3 linked regions of the Mus musculus genome follow. The protein of the gene in region 3 interacts with the protein of the main gene of each other region in a pairwise test. Links are inferred from orthologs where the notes say so. Each region holds a gene or a part of one and is shown on either strand. Other genes may lie near its edges.

Evidence for each region.
Region 1: the proteins of Ehmt2 (region 3) and Plod3 interact in binary tests that used the Homo sapiens proteins (3 or more experiments, as listed by UniProt). The two-hybrid records come from large-scale screens. The link is inferred for Mus musculus from reciprocal best matches to the Homo sapiens genes EHMT2 and PLOD3.
Region 2: the proteins of Ehmt2 (region 3) and Rd3 interact in binary tests that used the Homo sapiens proteins (3 or more experiments, as listed by UniProt). The two-hybrid records come from large-scale screens. The link is inferred for Mus musculus from reciprocal best matches to the Homo sapiens genes EHMT2 and RD3.

Annotation. Positions count from the first base shown.
Region 1 is NC_000071.6:136,988,669-136,996,067, forward strand, and holds part of Plod3 (multifunctional procollagen lysine hydroxylase and glycosyltransferase LH3 precursor), read left to right. Parts: coding exon 1-67; intron 68-214; coding exon 215-327; intron 328-457; coding exon 458-521; intron 522-929; coding exon 930-1,027; intron 1,028-1,228; coding exon 1,229-1,330; intron 1,331-1,482; coding exon 1,483-1,608; intron 1,609-1,749; coding exon 1,750-1,871; intron 1,872-2,076; coding exon 2,077-2,181; intron 2,182-2,290; coding exon 2,291-2,416; intron 2,417-2,631; coding exon 2,632-2,773; exon of another isoform or gene 2,774-2,873; intron 2,874-2,875; coding exon 2,876-2,989; intron 2,990-3,103; coding exon 3,104-3,172; intron 3,173-4,540; coding exon 4,541-4,645; intron 4,646-5,474; coding exon 5,475-5,621; intron 5,622-6,264; coding exon 6,265-6,390; intron 6,391-7,399. UniProt on the Homo sapiens protein: Multifunctional enzyme that catalyzes a series of essential post-translational modifications on Lys residues in procollagen. Plays a redundant role in catalyzing the formation of hydroxylysine residues in -Xaa-Lys-Gly- sequences in collagens.
Region 2 is NC_000067.6:191,982,520-191,989,918, reverse strand, and holds the end of Rd3 (protein RD3), read right to left. Parts: intron 6,670-7,399; 5' UTR 6,654-6,669; coding exon 6,358-6,653; intron 4,708-6,357; coding exon 4,416-4,707; 3' UTR 1,637-4,415; downstream 1-1,636.
Region 3 is NC_000083.6:34,900,016-34,907,414, forward strand, and holds part of Ehmt2 (histone-lysine N-methyltransferase EHMT2), read left to right. Parts: intron 1-2,998; coding exon 2,999-3,080; intron 3,081-3,166; coding exon 3,167-3,204; intron 3,205-3,307; coding exon 3,308-3,463; intron 3,464-5,113; coding exon 5,114-5,251; intron 5,252-5,326; coding exon 5,327-5,441; intron 5,442-5,594; coding exon 5,595-5,696; intron 5,697-5,894; coding exon 5,895-6,043; intron 6,044-6,135; coding exon 6,136-6,279; intron 6,280-6,361; coding exon 6,362-6,597; intron 6,598-6,679; coding exon 6,680-6,862; intron 6,863-6,937; coding exon of another isoform or gene 6,938-6,967; coding exon 6,968-7,050; intron 7,051-7,315; coding exon 7,316-7,399. UniProt on the Homo sapiens protein: Histone methyltransferase that specifically mono- and dimethylates 'Lys-9' of histone H3 (H3K9me1 and H3K9me2, respectively) in euchromatin.

The sequences.
Region 1 (7,399 bases), on a different chromosome or scaffold from region 3:
CCTGAGTGGGGGCTGGCAGAGCAGTACCCTGAGGTGGGCATGGGGAAGCGCTTCCTCAACTCTGGTGGTGAGTGGCCGAGTTCCCAAGACAGACTTGTCCCCTCTCTATCTCTCCCTCCCCCAGTGGAGCGGGCATTGCATGCTCTGGGTGCTTGAGTCGGGGACCCTGGCAGTCTCGGGAGGTCTAACTCACTTCTGCTTGCCACCCCCCCAGGATTCATCGGCTTTGCTCCCACCATCCATCAGATTGTCCGCCAGTGGAACTACAAAGACGACGATGATGATCAATTGTTCTACACTCAACTGTACCTGGACCCAGGGCTGCGGGTAGGGAGACTCAGGGACAGGAACCCCCTCTCCAGTTGAATAGGAGGGGAGGCATAAAGGGAGTTGGAGAAAGAGAGATATAGTGTCACCTGTCCCCCCTCCGTTCACTGCTCCATCTTATGCCATCTAGGAGAAACTCAAACTGAGTCTGGACCATAAATCCCGGATCTTTCAGAACCTCAATGGAGCCTTAGGTGAGGACGGTGGTTAGAGGTGGGTAATGAGGGATGGGTTCCTGCCAGAACTGGGTTGATCTACAACTCACCAGTATGCTAACTTAACCAACTCCTGAGCATGTGTGTTAGCGATGGATGTGTGGCTCAGTGGTAGAGCACCTGCCTAGAATCCCCCAATGAAAGGCTGGGGGTGTAACTCTGTGGTAGAGAGTGTGTCTAGCATACAGAAACCCCTAGGTTCAATTCTTAGCACCACACAAAAACAAAAGGAAAAACTGGTGTTTGGAGCTCGATCTACCGAGCACTTGCAAAGACCTTTGTGCACCAGAGGAGTTGGGATCCTATCGCTTCACACCTTAAAGAGCCTGTTGCCTCGTGGTTCCAAAATGAAGGAGCTCTTGAAAACCTTCCCCTTTTTGCCCCCAGATGAAGTGATCTTAAAGTTTGACCAGAATCGTGTGCGCATCCGGAATGTGGCCTACGACACACTTCCTGTTGTGGTCCATGGAAATGGTCCCACTAAGGTGCCCCCATGCCCTCAGCCCTCCACGCCCCCCCCCTGCTACCCCAACCCTCCTGGACCCCCTCCCCCTGGTTTTCTCCATTTCCAGCAGAAAAGGGTGCCAGGATGGCTGCCTCACCCTGCTGACTTTTTCCTGAGCCCAATGTCCTTGCCATCTGTCCCCAGACACCTCCACTTTAGCCACTCAACCCTGTCCCAACAGCTCCAGCTCAACTACCTGGGGAACTATGTCCCCAATGGCTGGACTCCCCAGGGAGGCTGTGGATTCTGCAACCAGACCCTGAGGACACTCCCGGGGGGGCAGGTGAGGACAGCACGGATGTCAGCAGAGGGCCAGCTGGGCGGCCTGGGGCTGAGCTCCTGTGCACCTGGACCTGGCCGAGTGGGCAGTGGGTGACTGCTGTGGGCAGAGAGAGGTCTGGGCTTGTGTGAGCCTTGTCCTGTGGTGTCCCCCAGCCTCCCCCCCGGGTGCTTCTGGCCGTGTTTGTGGAGCAGCCTACTCCCTTCCTGCCTCGGTTCCTGCAGCGCCTACTGCTCCTGGATTACCCCCCGGACAGGATCTCTCTCTTCCTTCACAACAGCGTGAGATATGGAGAGCATACCCCTTATCCCCCATCCCACCGCACCGACACCTCCTTCCGTCTGTCCTCCCTGACTGCATCCCCCATGTACCCACCTCTCTGCCCAGACCGTCAGTGTATCCCTCTCTCCGCCCATCTTCAGGAGGTGTACCACGAGCCTCATATTGCAGATGCCTGGCCACAGCTCCAGGACCATTTTTCAGCTGTAAAGCTGGTGGGGCCAGAGGAGGCCCTGAGCGCAGGGGAGGCCAGGGACATGGCCATGTGAGTGAGTCTGCCTGGGCTGTGGTCACACTACGCTCCCCTCCCTCATCCTCTGACACAGACAGTGGAGCCCCTGGGGAAGGAGACACTGACCCTTGACCTCATGTCAGAACCAGGAGAGCCCCGCTCATCCCTCCATCCCCACTGCCCTGCCTCCATGCCCCCATTTGGGCTCACCTCTCTATCTGTGGCTCTTCTCCTCCAGGGACAGCTGTCGGCAGAACCCTGAGTGTGAGTTCTACTTTAGCCTGGATGCTGATGCCGTCCTTACGAACCCGGAGACCTTGCGTGTCTTGATTGAACAAAACAGGTGACCAGCACCACCCATGCATGGAGCCCCAGAAGAGCTTCACCCCCTCCCCTGGTGGGACATAGTCCTATCCCATCTCGTCCATCCCTCACCTACGTCTTCTCCATAGGAAGGTAATAGCTCCCATGCTTTCCCGCCATGGCAAGCTCTGGTCCAACTTCTGGGGTGCCCTGAGCCCCAATGAGTACTACGCCCGCTCCGAAGACTACGTGGAACTGGTGCAGCGGAAGCGAGTGTGAGTCCCACCCACGTACCGTGCAGTGCCAGGCAGGCCCTTCCCTCGGTCCCCCTCCGCAGCCTCCTACATACACACTAGGCCCCCGCTATGGAAAGGGTGATATGATGGCCTCAGGCTTGGGATTCTGGGGGACACCGAGGAGGAGCTTCTGCAGTGAGCAAAGCGTAGTCTGTGGGGTTGCCCACCTAGCTGATCATACCCGGTGCCTGCAGGGGCGTGTGGAATGTACCCTACATATCTCAGGCATATGTGATCCGCGGGGAGACCCTGAGGACTGAACTGCCCCAAAAGGAGGTATTCTCCAGCAGCGACACAGACCCAGATATGGCTTTCTGCAAGAGCGTCCGGGACAAGGTGAGTGGGGTGGTTGGCATGGGTTGCCCATGGGGACTCGACGCTGTGCCCACAGCCTCCTGATGTCCTCCTCACGCATGCCCACCCTTTACCCCGCTCCAGGGCATCTTCCTCCACCTCAGCAACCAGCACGAGTTTGGCCGGCTGCTGGCTACTTCTCGCTATGACACAGACCACCTACACCCAGACCTCTGGCAGATCTTTGACAACCCTGTGGTAAGAGGGGACCTTTGCTCCCTGCTTCCAGCCCATAGCCCCCACCACCATTGCTGATCATGGGAGGGCAGGCGTGAAGAAGGCTCCGCTCGAGCGCCCTAACCCTTCCTACAGGACTGGAGAGAACAGTACATTCACGAGAATTACAGCCGGGCCCTGGATGGGGAAGGGCTAGTGGAACAGGTAAGCTGCCCCAGGACCTTGGCCCGTGTGAAGTACCCACTGCTGGCATTGGTGGGTTCTAAGCTGAGCACCCGGGGACTGAGGGTTTCCTATTCGGGCGAGAGGAAGGCTAACGGCCACACTAAGTGTTAAGGGCCTGTAATCTTAGAGGTCTGGAAGGTGGTGCAGAAGGATGGAGAGTTTCAGGCTAACCTGGGCTACATAATAGGTACCAGACCAGCCATGGTCAGATGGCAAGACCAAGTCTCAAAAGAAGAAAAAAGATGGGCTGAGAGAGAACTCAGTGGTCAAGTGCTTAGGACATAAGCATGGCGACCTAGTACAGGTCTCCAGAGCCCACCTGCAGTTCCAGACTGAGGACCCGCAGCAGGTTGATTCGCAAGACTGGCTGCATCCGTAAGCTCTGGGTTCAATTAGGAGATCATGCTCGGTGGATAAGGTGAAAGAACAATGGAGCAGTTCCTGGTGTCAACCTCAGACCTTCGAATGCACAAATGTGCACACGCACACCCCCAACATAGCCGTGCCCACCCGCACATGCACACCCCCACACAGCCGTGCGCACACGCACATAAAAACAAACAGAGGTGTGGTACATGCCAATAATGCCAGAGCCCAGGTCGAGGAAGATAACAGGGATTTGGAGTTGCAGGGCAGCATCAGACACGTAGCCAGTTCAAGGCCAGCCTGGGGACTGGAGAGATGGCTCAGCAGTTAAGAGCACCGACTGCTCTTGCGAAGGTCCTGAGTTCAAATCCCAGCAACCAGATGGTGGCTCACAACCATCTGTAATGAGATCTGACTCCCTCTTCTGGAGTGTCTGAAGATAGCTACAGTGTATTCACATACATAAAATAAATAACTCTTAAAAAAAAAAAAAGGCCATCCTGGATTACATAGTAAGACCTTGTCTAAAAATAAGTAAGTAGATGGGCTGGAGCTGGGGCTCGTGCAGTAGAGAGCTCCCCCAGTATTCACAGAGCCCTAGGTTCAGTTCCCAGCACAGTATAACCCGAGCATGAAGTTGCACGCCTGTGATCTCGGCATTCAGGAAGTGCAAGTAGGACGATCAGTGCCAGCCTCAGCTACCTAGTGAGTTTGAGGACAGCCTGGGCTACAAAAGACCCTGTCTCAAAAAGGAGGAAAAAAGACAGGACAAGATCATTGTTCTAGATGTTGGGGCTCCAGGCCCCCTATTCCTGCCCTCCTCTGCTAAAACACCCTTCCTCTCTCCACCTAGAGAGCTTGGGTCAGCCCTCCATAGATCCTCTCCTGTGTGTCTCCCCTCCCCTGTCCTTGTTGCCTGTCCCACCTCTCTTCTGTGAGCTTCACCTTGCCTTGTCCCTTGCTGCCCTGCTCTGTCCCTAGCCATGCCCAGATGTGTACTGGTTCCCACTGCTGACCGAGCAGATGTGTGATGAGCTGGTGGAGGAAATGGAACACTATGGCCAGTGGTCTGGAGGCCGGCACGAGGTGAGGACAGAGGGCTCCCAAGGGGACAGGGTGGGCCTGAAGAGGGACAGGGGACTTGGGGGATAGAGGGGATCCCCAAGGGCGGGGCTCATAAAGAGTATGCTAGTTACTTGTGGCCAGGAGAAAGTATATGTCCAAAGCAACTTGAAGAAAGGGTTTCTTGTGGCTCACAGTCTGCGGGCACAAGCCCATCATGGCAGGAAGGCATGGCAGCAGGAGCGTGAGAGAGCTGGTCACGTGGTCATATTGCACTGTAGTCGGAAAGCAGAGAGATGAGTTCTGTTGCTCAGCTCACTTTCAGGCCAGGACCTTAGCCCAGGGGATGGTGTCACCCACAGTGGTCAGGTCTTCCCATCTCCGTTAACCTAAGCTAGACAGTCCCTCCCCAGCATGCCCAGAGGCTTGTCTTCTAGGTGAACCTAGGTCCCATCAAGTTGACAGTCAAGGTTAGCTATAACACAGAGGTTGCTTGGGGCTACGGATGTTAGATAGCATGGGAAGGTGGCGTGGATTCACAGCAGAGCTAAGGACAGCAGAGACTAAAGGGCCCGGCAGCAGTGAGTCTGCCTTGACAATAGAAGAGAAAACTGCTTCTAGATGTCACAGACAGAAAGAGACTCCGGCTGGGCAGTCATCTGCACACCTTTAATCCCAGCACTCTCGACAGAGGCAGGTGAATCTCTAAGTTCAAGCCCAGCCTGATCTGTAGATCAAGTTCCAGGGAACCAAAACAAAAAACCTGGGAACCAACAAGAAGAAGCTGGTATTGTCCCTGAAGGAGAATGGGCTAGCCCAGGGATGTGGGTGGCTGAGTGTCTGTTGCTCACAGGATTCCAGGTTGGCTGGAGGATACGAGAATGTTCCCACCGTTGATATCCACATGAAACAGGTGGGATACGAGGACCAGTGGCTTCAGCTGCTGCGGACATATGTGGGGCCCATGACGGAGTACCTGTTCCCTGGCTACCACACCAAGGTGGGCCATCCCAACCGCTGCTGTACCTCTTCTTGTACCCCAGTCTCGGAAGGCTCTATGTGGACCCCGCCCTCAGCCCTTTAGCAACTGAGGCGCCACGGACTTGGGGCCCAGGATAAAGATGGACTCGGAAGGAAGTTAAGCCTCCTACTCGGGCCACTGTGCTATTAGGAGAGTCACTGGCAGGGCGTGTTGACACCTGTAACCTCAGCATTTGGGAAACTGAGGCAGGAAGGTCGAGTTTGAGGAGAGCATGGGCTGTGCAGTGAGCGCCTGTCTCAAAACAGGAGAGAGAGGCTGGAGATGTGGGTCAGCCAGTGCGCTCACCCAGCACGCACAAAGCCCTGGCTTCCATCCCCAGCACTGCATAGCCTGGGGGTAGGAGCACAGCCTGTGATCCCAGCACTCAGACGGTAGAGCAGGGGGATCAGAAATTCAGGGTCGTCTCGAGCTACATAGTTTGAGGCCAGCCTGGGCTACAAAAAATACCTTGTCTCAAAAAATGGGGAGGAACGGGACTGGGGAGATGGCTTGGTCTATAAAGTGCTTGTTCCCATGTCTTCCACCTCATGTACAAAACAAGTAAAGGGCTAGCCTTGGCGTGCCCTGCCCTTCCCATGACTTCCACCTTGTGTCCCCACAGACACGGGCAGTGATGAACTTCGTGGTCCGCTACCGGCCAGATGAGCAGCCCTCGCTTCGGCCACACCATGACTCGTCCACCTTCACTCTCAATGTCGCCCTCAACCACAAGGGTGTAGATTATGAGGTGAATGTAGGGTCCTTTCTGTCTTGGGGCCCGGGGGGCTCCTCCACACCCTTCATTTTACGGTCTTGTCTCTGTTACCCCCTAGCCTCCGGCTGGGCCTTCTTGAGTTTCTCAGTGGTTTCCTGTCGTGTCTTGGCTCAGCCACCATATTAATTAGCTTTCCGCTGCTGTAACAAAACACCGCACGGAAGAAACTTAAGGAGGAAAGTTACACCGCTTAAGCGTCTCCGTCACAGTCCATCGTGGAGGGAAGCCAGGGCAGGAACTGAAGCAGGGCAGGAACCTGGAGGCAGGAGCTGATGCAGAAGCCATGATGCTGCTTGCTGCCTTGCTCCTCATGGCTTGCTTAGCTATTTTCTTAGACACTCCAGGACCACCAGCCCAGGGATGGCCCCACCCACCGTGGACTGCGCCCTCCCACATCATTCATCTGTCAAGAACTGCCCCCCACAGGCTCACCCACAGGCCAATCTGACAGAGGTGTTTCCTCAGTTGAGGTTCCCGAGGTCCTGACAATCCCAGCTTGTGTCAAGTTGACAAAATCCCAACTAGCACAGCTGCTCTCCTCCTTCCTCCTGCTCCCCAGGACTCCACTGGTGACGTCCCTGTTCCTGCCACACACTCCCTGACAAGATAGTGGAAGGAAAAGAGGGAGGGTCTAAGTCCAAGGGGACGGTCCCTCACAGGGAAGGCACAGCAACAGCAGGAGCGTGTCCACAATCAGGAAGCAGAGAGAGTCCTGGTGCCCAGCTCACTTTGTCCTTTTTATTCAGTCCTAGATGCCAGCCGGTGGGTTGGCTCACCCTGATTCAGGGTGGCTCTCCCTGCCCTCCTCTAACCCATTTTAGAAACTCCCACTCAGGTATCTCCAGAGGTTTGTTTCTATGATGATTCTAAACTCCACCAAGTTGGCAGTCCAGATCAACAACCACATAGCCTCCCTTGTCCATTTGATTGGCACCTCTCCCACCATGCCTGTTGCCCCCCTGCACCCTCATCACCCTGTGAA
Region 2 (7,399 bases), on a different chromosome or scaffold from region 3:
GGTGTATTTCTTTTTAGGTTTGGCTCTGGCAATTTTTATGCCAGAGTGTGGAGGTTTGTCGACTGGTCGTCCTGATTTCTTTATTCGACCTCTGTGTCCTGGTGGTTTGACTGGAAGACTCTTAGTTTTGTAGGCAAGGATGTATTTGTAGGTAACAATTTTAACTTTTCCCAGGGGTCCAGCACCTCACCGGATCCACCTAAGGGCGCTTACTAAAAGGTGGCATCTTATGTTTTGCCAACTTTCTGGTAGACAGCTTTTTAAAAGTTACACTGTTCATTCCCTCCCTCGTCTGCGAGCCATTTTTTATTATTCTTTTACATTAGAAATGACTAAGGTGGTGGCGCACGCCTTTAATCCCAGCACTTGGGAGGCAGAGACAGGCGGATTTCTGAGTTCTAGGCCAGCCTGGTCTACAGAGTGAGTTCCAGGACAGCCAGGGCTACACAGAGAAACCCTGTCTCCGAAAAAAAAAAAAAAAAGAAAGAAAGAAAGAAAAGAAATAAGAAATGACTAAGGTGTCCCAAATATTTTCATTATCGGTCTTGGAGGTGATCCTATCTCTTCTCCGCTGTTTAAAATAGTAGGTTTTCCAGTGGTGAGCCCTCAAGTGCAGTAAGTGAATATGAGTCATAGCACCATGCTGATAAAATTCTGAGAAATGCAGAGACAAAGCAGGTGATACAGAAGTGGCAACAGATGCAGTAAGGGAGTGTGGGATACATGGGCCAGCTCTGAGCCTATCACCATATCCCTACGAGCCCCCAACAACATCCAGATCAGACCCGGCCTCCACACCTACAAGGGCAGCACACCCCTAATCCTTTCTCCAGTCAGGTGTGTTCTCCACAGTCTTTCTTGCACAGTCCTAGTCTCCACTCAGCCTGTCCCTGAAGATGTGGATTCAAATATTCACACCATATTGTTCTTCACATCTTAGACGGATAGTGACCCAGACCACCAACCCCATGGAACAGGCACTTTTTTCAGACCAGCCCAGAATTCCATGCTTTCTCAGCTTGCTAGCAACAACAGGCATGGCAGACCTCCAGAGTATAAGTGTTTGGAACCGGAAGTACCAATACGGCAGATAAACTCAGACCTCTCATGGAGTGTGCTACACACACATTCCAGAAAGACAGTGTTTTGGAAGCAAAACATTTCTTCCTCTTAAGACTTTGTAAACAGCTCTCAAATATGTCCTAGCCTAAAAGACAATTTTCCATGGAAAATTAATGACATGTAATGACTGCAGTAGCTATTTGTGGGTTAAAGTAAGCATGCAGGTCAAACCTGCATGATAACAAACTACAAAGAATGTGGTTTTGTTATGGCTGATTATCCTCAGCCTTTTTTCCTCCTTGTGTGTGATTCAAGTGTGCACTAGAAGGCTCCTGAAGTATTAAGCCAAGCATGCACCCCCTACCCAGAATGGCCAATAGGTTTTTATTATTTCAAATTAGTAAAAATATGTACTATTAATAGCTATTCTTTACTGGTGCAAATGGTTGGCACTTTTTGCTGCTTTCCTCATTTATGAAAGAATTTAAAAATCTAAAGCCAGAGAAGAAATTAATGTTATGTAAAATTACATTATATACATATATATATATTAGAGAATCTTTTGTGTTGAAATATTTTATCAAATGGCCACAATTTATTAATTTACTGTTTATCAACATGATACTCCATAAACAATCTTCCATTGTAGAATTATAGAGCACTATGTGATTGAGCATAAACAAATCATAATTTTCTGATTGATGTGTGGATGTATGAGATTTGATGAGACCCTCACTCTCAGAAACAAAATGCAAGGAGTCATATGTTGGGAAGAATTTGGGTCATTTCAGCAGGGACTAGGTATTAGATAATATGAAAGTTTGTGTAGATTTTTACTAGCAGAACAGCTGTGTGTTTGTGTTTCAAGACAGGGTTTCTTTGCGTAGCCCTGGCTATCTTGGAACTCATGCTGTAGACTACACTAACCTCGAACTCAGAGATCTTCATGCCTCTGCCTCCCAAACTCTGGGGCTAAAGATGTATGCCACCCTAGATAGGTAGATGACAGACAGACAGACAGATAGATATCCCCAACTTCTGGGATGTTCTCTTTTGCAGAGCACACTGAAGTATTCAGGCATGAAGAAACATATCTGAGATTCATATTAAAGTATCCGCCAAAATTTTGGGTTGAGAAATTAAAACATGAAACAAAAATGAAATTAATATTATTAAGAATTAATAAGCATTAAGGCTCCCTTTACTTTCTAGAACTTAAAAGTTCTCATACCAAGTAAGAAGCACCAGAACTAGGATGCTGCGCCAGCTGCGGCTCAGCGGGGGGGATGGGGGGGGCTCCCCCTCCCCTCCAGCCAACGCCAGCCCCTCAGCAGACACCTCTGTTAGCCCTGAGTCTTACAGGACCTGAGACCCTCACAGGCTTTAGTTAGCATCACAGCTAAGGTGGGACAAAGCAGAAGAGTACTGAGGAGGTTGGCAGGGACAGCAGTAGCAGCTGCCTGTCATGCAAGAGCAAGCTCACTACCTCAGGTTTTCCTTTTGTTTGAGGAGAACAGAGAGACCTGGAAGAAGAAATCAGCAATCAGTAGTCCTCCCCTGAGGATCCTCGGAACCTCCCTCTAGGCAAATCAAGCCCCACAAGGGCCTCAGGCAGGAGGCTTGGCAAGCTCTGCTTCACTCAACATTTCCTCCCAACTGTGGAACTGTTTGTTTCAAAGCCTTTCCCATTTGTTCTTGGTGTCACATTCAAAGCACCCACAAACCCATTGAATCAAAGCAAACCCCCATCACAACACAGGTCACTTTGTGTGGAGGCTCTGCCCTGACCTGCAGAGAGGGGTTGCCGCATCAGCTGTTTTTGCCTTCGCAGGTGGAATTTCCCCTCCAGAGTTGGGAATTCTCGTTTTGCCCTGATAAGAGAAACCTGTTCTGAGAAATGGAAACCTATGCCATTGGCAGTCAGCATGAGGTGATCTACGTCATCAGTCACATCTAGGGGTTGGGCTTATGGCTTTTGCCTTTATAAGCCTGCTGCTTTGCAATAAAATTGAACCTTGATCAGAACTTTGTCTTAGCACCATTTTTCTTTCATCCCTGTCCTTTAATTCTCAGAACCCCTTTCGAGGTACCTACATTGACTGGTAGTCGAGGGTCGACTACAACTTTGAACCTCTATCCAAAGTTTGGCAACTGAGTGAACTTCTCAGTATCTTCCAGTAGAAGATATGTTTAAAATGTTTTTGTTTAGAAGAGATTATACTAATGAGCCAGTCAGCTCCTTCATCCTGGCAGCGATGGGTAAGAGGAATGTGCCATCCGATCATTATCCAGATCCCAGTGAAGCAACCCAAAGCCACATCATTCAAAAAGAATATCTGTGCAGTAGACTCAGCACTCAAGAGGCTGAAGCAGCCAAAATAGTGAGACCCTGCCTTGAAGGAGGAGGGGCGGGGAGGGCAGGAGAGCAGACTTCCCATTGAGCCAGACTATATGCAGTACCTAGTGATTTTTCTCCCATTGCATTTTATTTGGACTATAAGGTTCACATGCACTGGGTGCTGGGGACACTCTTTGCTTGCCCTGAACCTTACTTCTACCCCAGATTGAGGTGGGGGACATCCACTCATAGACCATCAGAGCATGAGGCTGCAGGAGACTACCCTGGACTGCTTTGCTCAGGTACTTCCTAGGGAAGCTGGAGAGCAGGTGTGAACAGAAGGATCCCTAGACTTCAGCAGCAGGTTCGCAGGCCTCCAAGCCCTGACTCTGGACTGGCCATGTTCCATATGATGACATCGCAGGATGGGAGTTATGATCATCCTGCCTACCCCTAGCCACCTTTCTCAGACAGCAGCCTCGGCCCCAGTGGATGGAGATGTAGACATTGGTCCCACCCTATCATAGTCCAGCATTCAAGGACTCAGAGGCAAGAACAATGCCACATCAGAGGGATCAGAGTTAAGGCAAAAGCAGAGACTCTTGGAAGACTTCCTTTTTTCACTCACTAGCTGAAGAGTGGGTTGAACAGTCTTCTGTGGGCCCCACCAGCTGCCCTGGGCCTGAGGCTGTGGGTCCCCTGCAGTGAATGTCATCTGGTCACCAGTAAAGGTGCCATGAATGGATAGGGTGAATGGGGCATCCCGGAAATTGGGATGAGTATGTGGGCCTTGTGTCTGTGTCAGGCTGGGAAGTGGAGACCTTTTTGCGGAGAAACAGGGCTCAAGTCCTGACTCTGCCCAGGTATCCAAGCAGGTGTGCTCACTGGGTAGTTGGCTCCGTGGTCTAGCAGTGTTGCTTGATGGGTCTCCTGGTTGGGGTAGGTGGGGAGGTTCCGGCGCTAGTGACAGAGTCACCAGCCCGTTATTCCTCCTGAGGGTGATTGCCCTGGGTGGTCAGTCGGCCTGGGGCGCCCTGAACTCCGGCATGCTCCAGGTGCGCGGCGGGGGTGGCGCATCGCGCTCCACATCCTCCGAGATGGTTCGGATGTCACTGGCAAAGGGTGCGATGCGAGCGCGGGTCTTGAAGGACGACAGGCTGCCGCGGGGCCTCAAGCTCCACTGACGTGTCAGCTTATGGGCCTCCTCCTCCTGCTTCATCTTCTCCAGGGCCTCCTGCAACACGGAGCGGAACAGCCGCGCCACCTCCTGCACCTCGGGCTCTCGTTCAGCCAGCAGCTGCCTGAACCTGGGGGCACATGACCGTGATGGACTGAGCATCTCACAAGCCAGAAACTCCCAACCTTGCTCTTGTCCCAGTCAATCTTGAGCTCAAATCCCAGTTCTGTTCACCTCTGAGCCTCAGTTTTCTCACCTGTAAAAGGGTACACCTGCCTTTTCACATGGTACGTGTGCTCATATGCAAGGAGCCTGAAGCCAGCCCATGGCTGACAGGGACAAAGTTCTGAGGTGTGCACTGTAACTGCAGCCTGGCTGTGGGAGACTGTGTTCACCCCTCTGCCAGTTCCACCTGCCCCTGTGATTACTCTGAGATGCATGTCTGCAATGTCATGGTGTGTCAACATGGAGACCTTCTCCCCCCAGCTCCGTGTCTCTTCAGGGGATGGACAAGCTCTGCATTCCTACTGGCCCTGCTCCTTCTCAGGAAGGCCGCTGGTGGCCTCCTTGCTCCTTGTGTGTCTCTTTAGCTGTTTCCTCTGCCTAGATTTCTCCATAGAGCTGGATTCGTCCATTTGATCCCTTCTTTCCTCTGCCCTCCAGAGAGCCAGCATTTGGCAGAGGCAGACAGGAAATCCAAGAGGAAGTATGGCTCTAACCCTGTGCCCCCTCACTGTGGGTTTAGCCAGCCAGGTCAGGTGCCCCCTGGCATCAGCTTGGCACTCTACCCCTGTCCCATTTTCACTTCTGAAGTAAATGCTTTTAGGAGCCTCCACCATCAATAGAATCAGAAGAATGGGAGAGCTCAGGGGCACCAGCGCGGAGACTACAGAAACCAAAGAGGAAATAGGGGCAAAGTCCTCCTTTCAAGGGAATTTCAGAGAGGAAGCACGGGGTGGGCAAGTGTTGGGGGCTACTGGAGGAGTTGGACTCAAAGTCTTTACTTGTAGATTTGTCCTTTACAAACAGAATGCTGACAAGGAACTCCTGTGCATTTGGGGTCGGTCCTGAATTTGTACTGAGTTCACCAGCTCTATGGGAACAGAGGGAAGGTCCACAGCCTCAGGGAGAGAGGTTTAGGTTCTGTCCTGTGCTACACCAAGCTTTGCACATGTGGTGCCCTGGGCTCTCACACACTCACACACTTGGCTGGGCTTCCCTGTTCCCTCTTCCCCCCACACACTCACACCTCGGGCTGACAGTGTCAAACCTGATCGGAACAGAGTAATTCAGACACCAGTTTTGGAGAGATTGCCTGGGACAGGTCCTAAGGAAGGAACATGGAGGCTGAGGCAGCAGGATTGCTGTGAATTTGAGACTAGCCTAGGCTACATAGTGAGTTCTAGGTTAGCCTGGGCTAAAAGAAGAGGAAGAAGAAGGAAATGAAGCAGGAGAAGTTGGAGACATGGAAGATAGGCGTGTGACAAAGGAACCATTGTTGACATGCATACTTGCAACCACCCAGCAGGAAGAACAAAGAATTTACAAGCTTTGAGTCCAACCCATCCCAGCCTGAGGGCCTCTAGAATCTGCCTCCAGCCCCAGATGAAGCCTCCCCCAAGTCTGATATTCCTCACCCTATTTCTCCCAGAAATAGGAGATTTCTATTCTATTTCTCATGCCATCTGGCTCTGATTCTACTAGCCTTGGGCTCCTGCGACTCCAGTCACCTTCTCTGGAGCTAGTAGGGTCACGGTCCCCATCCCAATGCCAGGGTTACCTGAGGATGGCAGGCCCACAGTAGGATGGGTGGATCTTGGCACATACATCCTCCAACTGCAGCCGCTCACCAGGGCTGATGTCATAGGTGGGCCTGGGCGTGTTTGCCAACCAGCTGTAGTCCACACCAGTGCAGATCTTCCTGACTGCGCTGCGACGCTCCCTCTGTTGTCGCTCCACCTCTCTCATCTGCCCAGCCAGCTCCATCATGAGCGTCTCCAGCACCATCTCGGCCGGGGTCCGGGCCGAGAGCCGGGGAGGGGTGTCGTTCCACCGGAGCCACGGGATGAGGGACATGGCCCCCCAGACTCTTCTGAGACAGAGAAGAAGGGGAATGTGTCCCTTGTCAGCAAGGAAGGAACCCAAGACACCAAGAAAGAGAGAGGCGAGTTGGGCCCCAGCTGAAAGCATCCCACCCATTACAGATGTGAGGCCTCATGTAGGCCACAACCTCTTTGAGCAAAATTCTTAATTATGGAAAACAAAATAGGGCCATTTGAGAAGCAGCTGTGAATAACCTTGGCTCACCATAAGCATTGCATCAAGGTGATGTATGCAGCCATTTTGATAAGAATCCCGAAAGCATCGTGATGGTTGAACCCAGAGAAATTGTTCCCCAAACCTCACTATCCATAAACAAAGCAGGTACATGTACAGATGAGCATAATAATATCCCCATAATCTGTGGGGAAAAGTGCACACAACACAAACACATACAGAGCAAACAACATACAAAACACATACCCATACAACACACATAGCAGGCACAACACACACACATGCACACATTCCCTTAGATACTTATGTCCCATGCCAATCCAACAAGAATACATTGTTTCAAATGCCTCTGGTCTAGGGACGATACACTTAGAAATGTGTGGGTTGACATTGCCCTGATAAAACAACCGACCCACCATCATAATTCATTAATCCAGTAAGTGTTAGCCAAGTTCAGTGGAGGGACACCATGAAAGTATCTGGGGTCCCTGGGGATAACTGGCACAGAGCACACCCGGTATCTATGGGGAGGGGGTGAACATTAG
Region 3 (7,399 bases):
TTTTTTTTTTTTTTTCCTTCTTCCGGGATTTAGCCTTAGACCTCTTGTATTCAGATTTTTTTTTTCGAATTTACCAATAGGCTACCAAGTGTCAGCTGTTGGGCTGGGCCTCTGTGAGCAGAGTAATTGTCGGCTTCCTGGAGTTTGTGTTCTTTGGGGAGGGGTGGTCAGCAGAGGAGACTGACAGATGTAGAATTAATTATATAGTTATTGTCCTAATTACACAAATGACTGGGCAGGATCAGCCTTCCCAAGTTTGTGTTTTTTTTGTTTTGTTTTTTGCCTCTGAACAAATGCTTAGGGAGGTTGGTTTGTTCGTTTGTTTGTTTGTTTGTTTGTTTGTTTTTCAAATCCCTACTTTGAGACCAGTCTCAAACCAGATAAAGTTTTTACTGGGAACTCTTCCCTGGGAAGGCCACATAATGACAGAATGTGGGCGGAGGCGTGTGTGTGTGTGTGTGTGTGTGTGTGTGTGACAAGAACCTGGAAATCAAAATTATGTCAAGGTTTTAAGGGCTCTTGATTCAGCTTAAGTATGGCTTGTGTAGCCTTCCTCTGGGTCTTGTTTCGTTTATTTTGTTGTTTGTTTTGAGCTTTATTTTGTTTTGAGAGAGTAGTTTTTGTTTTTTGTTGTTTTGTGTGTGTGTGTGTGTGTAACAGGGTCTCACTGTGTAGCCCTGGCTGGCTGGCTGTGTAGACCAGGCTGGCCTTTAACTCACAGAGATCTACCTTTTTCTGTCTCCTACATCCTGGGGCTGAAGGTGTACACACATGCCTTTTATTTATAATCTTTTTTTTAAAAAAGATTTATTTATTTATTTTATGTATATGAATATACTGTAACTGTCTTCAGACACACCAGAAGAGGGAATCAGATCCCATTACAGATGGTTGTGAGCCACACCATGTGGTTGCTGGGATTTGAACTCAAGACCTCTGGAAGAGCAGTCAGTGCTCTTAACTGCTGAGCCATATCTCTGGCCCTTGTTTTATTTCCTCTTTTTGAGATGGTCTCATGTAGACTGAACTTGCTATGATCCACCCCACCCAGCTTCTACATTTAATTTTTTTCTTTCTTTTTTTTTTTCTTTACTCTTTCTTTTTTTAAAAACTTTTAAGCTTCTGGGTGTTTTACCTGCACATATGTCTGTGTACCACCTTGTGTGTCTGGTGCCCTTCAAGTCAAGGGGGCAGTAGACCTTGAGTTTGAAGGGGTTGTGAGCATCTTGTCAGTGCTGGGCAATTGGACCTGGGTCTTCCACAAGAGCAGCAACCGGCTCTTAACCACTGCACTACCTCTCCGACAATGCTTGTTTTCTTTTTCTGGGAAAGTGATTACCTCACCATGGTGTGGCTGTTCTTCTCTGGTACAGAAGTTCGTGTTTGCTCGGGCTCCTCATATAAAATTATGAGAGCCAGGTGGATCTCTTAAGGTCTGGGTCAGCTAAGAATCAACATTTGCATATGCCTTACACGTATCTGTCTTCCTTGTAGATACCTTATAGATGATTAGCTAATGCCTGTATTAGTAGTTTAAAGACTCCTATATGGGCACAACTTTTAAAATTTTATCTGTTGCTGGGTGGTGCTGGCTCACGCCTCTAATCCCAGTTCTTGGGAGACTGAGGCAGGCAGATCTCTGAGTTCAAGGCCAGCCTAGTTAGAGTATACACAATTCCTTAGACAGCCAAGTCTATATAGTGAGTTCCAGGGCAGCCAAGGCTACACAGGGAAATCCTGTCTTGAAAGAAAAATATTGATTATAAGTGTGTATGTGTAATGGGGGAGGTTGAGGGGATGGACGCAGTAGAGGACATATCTGTGGAGCCTGGTCTCTTCCACCTTTTCATGCCATCTAGGAGTCAGACTCAAGTTTTAGGGTTTGCGCAGCAAGCACCCCTGCCCACTGAGCCATCTTGCTGGCCACTGTTCTCTTTTTAATTTTTTTTTTTTTTTTTTTTTTGGTTTTTCGAGACAGGGTTTCTCTGTATAGTCCTGGCTGTCCTGGAACTCACTCTGTAGACCAGGCTGGCCTCGAACTCAGAAATCCGCCTATCTCTGCCTCCCAAGTGCTGGGATTAAAGGCGTGCACCACCACGCCCGGCTTTCGGGTAGCATTTTTTTAAAAACTCATTTCTTTTTTTTTTTTTTTTTAAGATTTATGGGAGTTCCCTGTCGCTGTCTTCAGACACACCAGAAGAGGGCATCAGATCTCATTACACATGGTCGTGAGCCACCATGTAGTTGCTGGGATTTGAACTCAGGACCTCTGGAAGAGCAGTCAGTGCTCTTAACCCTGAGCCATCCCTCCAGCCCTTCGGATAGCTTTGTTTGTTTGTTTTTTTTTTGTTTGTTTGTTTTTTAATGTATGTGAATACACTGTACAGATGGTTGTGAGCCTTCATGTGGTTGTTGGGAATCGAACTCTTAGGACCTCTGCTCCCTCTGGTCAACCCTACTCACTTCAGTCAGCCCCACTAGCTCTGGCCCAAAGCTTTACTTACTTTTATATGTAAGTACACTGTAGCTGTCTTCAGACGAACCAGAAGAAGGCATCAGATCCCATTACACATGGTCATGAGCCACCATGTGGTTGCTGGGATTTGAACTCAGGACCTTCAGAAGGGCAGTCAGTGCTCTTAACCACTAAGCCATCTTGCCAGTCCCCCAGATAGCATTTTTGAGGTACAGCCAGCCACAATACTCCCACCTGGGCCCCAGGCTGAGGGAACAGACCCATAACTTTAATTTGGTGGCTCACTTATTTCACTTAGCACAGTGCCTTCAAGTTTCCTCTATGTTGTATATTTCCAGGCTCCCTTTTTGTCCTTGGGTGTTCTGTTTGTTTTTGAGATAGGGTCTCACTCACTCTATAGCCCTAGCTGGCCTGGGTCTCGGATCCGCCTGCCTCCCGGAGTGCTGGAATGAAAGGTGTAGCCCACCACACCTAGCCTGGGTGAGTAACCTTCTGACTGAAACGTGTTCCTTCCTGCTTCAGCCTCCAATCCCTGAGAAGCGGCCCCCTGAAGTCCAGCATTTCCGCATGAGTGATGACATGCATCTGGGGAAGGTGACTTCAGGTCAGTCACCTCTGCTCCTCCCACACACTCCAGGTGGCCTGCGTAGTCTATCCCAGGATTGAGAGTTCACTTTTCTGTCTTTCCAGATGTGGCCAAAAGGAGGAAGCTGAACTCTGGTAGCCTGGTGAGCTGGAGAGGAAGACCTACCTGGTGGGGGTGGGAGCGGAGGGGAGGGGCGGATTGGTGGGCTGGAGCCAGGAACCTCAGACTCTGTCATCTTTTTCTAGTCCGAGGACTTGGGCTCTGCCGGGGGCTCAGGAGATATAATCCTGGAGAAGGGAGAGCCCAGGCCCCTGGAGGAGTGGGAGACGGTGGTGGGCGATGACTTCAGCCTGTACTATGATGCGTACTCTGTGGATGAGCGGGTGGACTCTGACAGCAAGGTGTGCTGGTGTGCTCTTCTCAAGCTTCCCTACCCAGTCTGTTCTTTCCCTTTAATAGCTCTAGTTCACCGCCCTGTGTTGTCTGCAACTGTTTCTTATATCCCTTATCTCATCTCTGGTCCTCTCATTCCAACCCAGCCTCCTCCCTGCCTTGTTTGCTCCCTTTGTGTTGTTTGCTCCGTTGGCTTTTGGCTAGTTTTGTTTGTTTGACAGGGTCTCACTAGTAGACCAAGCTGGCCTCAAATTCCTAGAAATCTGCCTGCCTTTGCCTCTTTAGTGTTGGGTTGAAAGGCACATACTGCCACACTGTGTGTGCGCTCATCCTGGGGTTAGAGGACAGCATCTCGGGCTTGGTTCTCTTTCGATGTAGCTCTGGGGATCTTAATCTCTTACAGTTTGTGGGTTTGAGCTTTCAGAATTTTCCCCCGTGTTTGAGGTTGAGCCTGGCGCTCTGCAAGTGCATTGTAACAGGCCTGTGCTTTATTTTTGCTGATTGAGGGATTAAACTCAAGGCCTCGCAGGGCGAGCAAGCACTGAGCTGCTACTTAAATATTTGATTTCAGGCCTCATTCTCTACCAACTTGCCTGGGAATGGCCCGGCCTTAACCCACTCCTGTAGTCTGTCTGCCTCAGCCTCCCGAGTGGCTGGGGTTAAAGGCATGCTTTTTCTAAATGGGGATGGGGCTTGAGACAGAGTCTCACTTTATTTTTTTAAAGATTTATTTATTTTATGTATATGAGTATACTGTAGCTGTACAGCTGGTTGTGAGCCTTCATGTGGTTGTTAGGAATTGAATTTTAGGACCTCTGCTTGCTCCGGTCAACCCCGCTCACTCAGTCACTGATCATTCTGGCCCAAAGATTTATTTATTATTATACATAAGTACACTGTAGCTAACTTCAGACACACCAGAAGAGGGTGTCAGATCTCATTACATGATGGTTGTGAGCCACCATGTGGTTGCTGGGATTTGAACTTAGGACCTGCAGAAGAGCAGTCAGTACTCTTACCCACTGAGCCATCTCGCCAGCCCCAGCTCCTGAGCTGATCCTCTTGCTTCTGTCTCCACGTTTGGACTACAGGCATGTGCCGCCATGTCTGCTGCTGCTTCTGCTTTTTGTTTTTGATTTTTTGGGGGGAAGAAAATGTGGCAGTGGTTGCAGGTGCCTCCTTCCTATTGCCTGTCTTTGGAAGCTGTGTAGGGTGTTTGGTCAGTTCTTGTGCTGGTCAGTGTTGACATGCTCCAGAGGCAGAGGCGTAGGATCTCTGTGAGTTCCAGGTAGTGGCCAGGACTACCTAGTGAGGCCCTGTCTCCAAACAATCAATCAAAAAGAAAACTTTGACATTGGGCCTGTGGTTTCCGGTGATGGCAGCCTGACCCCTTCGTTAGAGAGCACCTCCTTAGCTTTTCGTGGAGTGTGGTTGGTTTTGTTGCCATGGGTAGTCTTGTCAGAGTGTTTCCTAAGACCGGCCCTTGTCACTGCTGTGTGGCATTCTGTGCCTCTGTCCCTATCCACCCTTTCCTGCCTCCTGCCCACATCCCCCACCGGGAGCTTTCCTTGGGGGGGGGGGGGGTGATGATATGGGGCCTCAGCAGTCACCGAGAGAGCTGCCTTTGCTGGTTTCCCAGCCTGATTTTTCTTTTTCAGTCTGAAGTCGAAGCTCTAGCTGAACAGTTGAGTGAGGAGGAGGAGGAGGAAGAGGAGGAAGAAGAAGAAGAGGAGGAGGAGGAGGAAGAGGAGGAGGAGGAAGAAGAGGACGAGGAGTCGGGCAATCAGTCAGACAGGGTAAGAGCAGAGACCGGCCTACCTGGAGGAGTGGGGGAGCTGGGAGCAGAGCTCTTGAGTCTTCCTCTTCCACAGAGCGGTTCTAGTGGCCGGCGCAAGGCCAAGAAGAAATGGCGGAAAGACAGCCCGTGGGTGAAGCCATCTAGAAAACGGCGGAAACGAGAGCCTCCGAGGGCCAAGGAGCCAAGAGGTAAGACGGCTCCTCTGCTCTCAGGTCCCCTCCTCCGGCCCCAGAGAGCAGCACACACTCGGATGCTCGTGCATGTTCACTGTGTAGACCGCATGTGCGCACGCGCCCAGGACCTGTGAGCCCCCACTCTCACTCTCTCTGTCTCTGTGTCAGGAGTGAATGGTGTGGGTTCCTCAGGGCCCAGTGAGTACATGGAGGTTCCTCTGGGGTCCCTGGAGCTGCCCAGCGAGGGGACCCTCTCCCCCAACCACGCTGGTAATTAATTGCCAACTGCCGGGACAGGGAGCCACCAGGGGGTGCCCATGGGGGTGGAGGGAAACCCTGCCACAGCTGGGGTGTCCATGCCAGGCTTTGGGGTTCTAGAACATGGTGGGGTGGCTGGGCGGAAAGGAGGGGACCCTCCCAGTGGGTGAGGGGCAAGGCCTCCATCATCTCTGTCTCTTCCTGTCTAAGGGGTCTCCAATGACACGTCTTCACTGGAGACAGAACGCGGGTTTGAGGAGCTGCCCCTCTGCAGCTGCCGCATGGAGGCTCCCAAGATTGACCGCATCAGCGAGAGAGCAGGGCACAAGTGCATGGCCACAGAGAGTGTGGATGGAGAGGTGGGTCTGGGTACGGTTGGCTTAGGGGGCCCAGGGTGAGCTAGCCTGGGCCCTGGCCTCACCCACATGCCCCCACCTTCCTTCATCCCTAGCTCCTGGGCTGCAATGCTGCCATCCTTAAGCGGGAGACCATGCGGCCGTCTAGCCGCGTGGCGCTGATGGTGCTCTGTGAGGCCCATCGAGCCCGCATGGTCAAGCACCATTGCTGCCCGGGCTGCGGCTACTTCTGCACAGCGGTGAGTGACCATTGGGGTGGATGGGCGGTCTGGCCAGCACCGGAGAGCTCCGGGGCTGACTGCTGCCTCTTCCCTTCCCCAGGGCACCTTCCTGGAATGCCACCCCGACTTTCGTGTAGCTCACCGCTTCCATAAGGCCTGCGTATCCCAGCTCAATGGGATGGTCTTCTGTCCCCACTGTGGAGAGGATGCCTCAGAGGCCCAGGAGGTGACCATTCCTCGGGGCGATGGGGGAACACCCCCAATTGGCACCGCAGCTCCTGCTCTGCCACCCCTGGCACATGATGCCCCAGGGCGAGCGGATACCTCCCAGCCTAGGTATTGGCCTCTCCACCACCACCACCACCCGGTTATCCATCTTATCTCCCTTGCCCCCAGACCTCAAAACCTTTTTCCACAGCGCCCGAATGCGAGGGCATGGAGAGCCGCGGCGCCCGCCCTGTGATCCCCTGGCTGACACCATCGACAGCTCAGGGCCTTCACTGACTCTGCCTAATGGGGGCTGCCTCTCCGCTGTGGGTCTGCCCCCAGGGCCGGGCAGGGAAGCCCTGGAAAAAGCCTTGGTCATCCAGGAGTCTGAGAGGTGAGTTTGTGCTGTTTTCAGGGTGTGACTGGGCCAGAAACGCAGGTGTTGCTGTCGGTACTTAAATCTGAGCAGCCCACCTTCTCCCCCTCCATCCCCTGACAGGCGGAAGAAGCTGCGATTCCACCCACGGCAGCTGTACCTGTCGGTGAAGCAGGGGGAGCTGCAGAAGGTGATCCTTATGCTGTGTGAGTGTCTGACCCCACCCCGAGGGCTGTGCGTGAAAGGGAAGGACCCTCGGTGGCGGCAGCAGTGGTAACCTGTTGGTAATGGGCACTGATCCAGTGCACAACTTATAAGCTTTCCCGGCCTGGAGGCTGAGTGTTCCTCTAGTGCGGGGCAGTACTGAGGGGCTGGCACGGCTTGCCTAGTGGGGAATCCTGGGAAGTCTCTCTTGGTACAGGGCTGTCCCACCCCCAGCTCTCTTACCTCTTGTCTCATCTCTGCCTGCAGTAGACAACCTGGACCCCAACTTCCAGAGCGACCAGCAGAGCAAGCGCACGCCCCTGCACGCGGCCGCCCAGAAGGGGTCGGTAG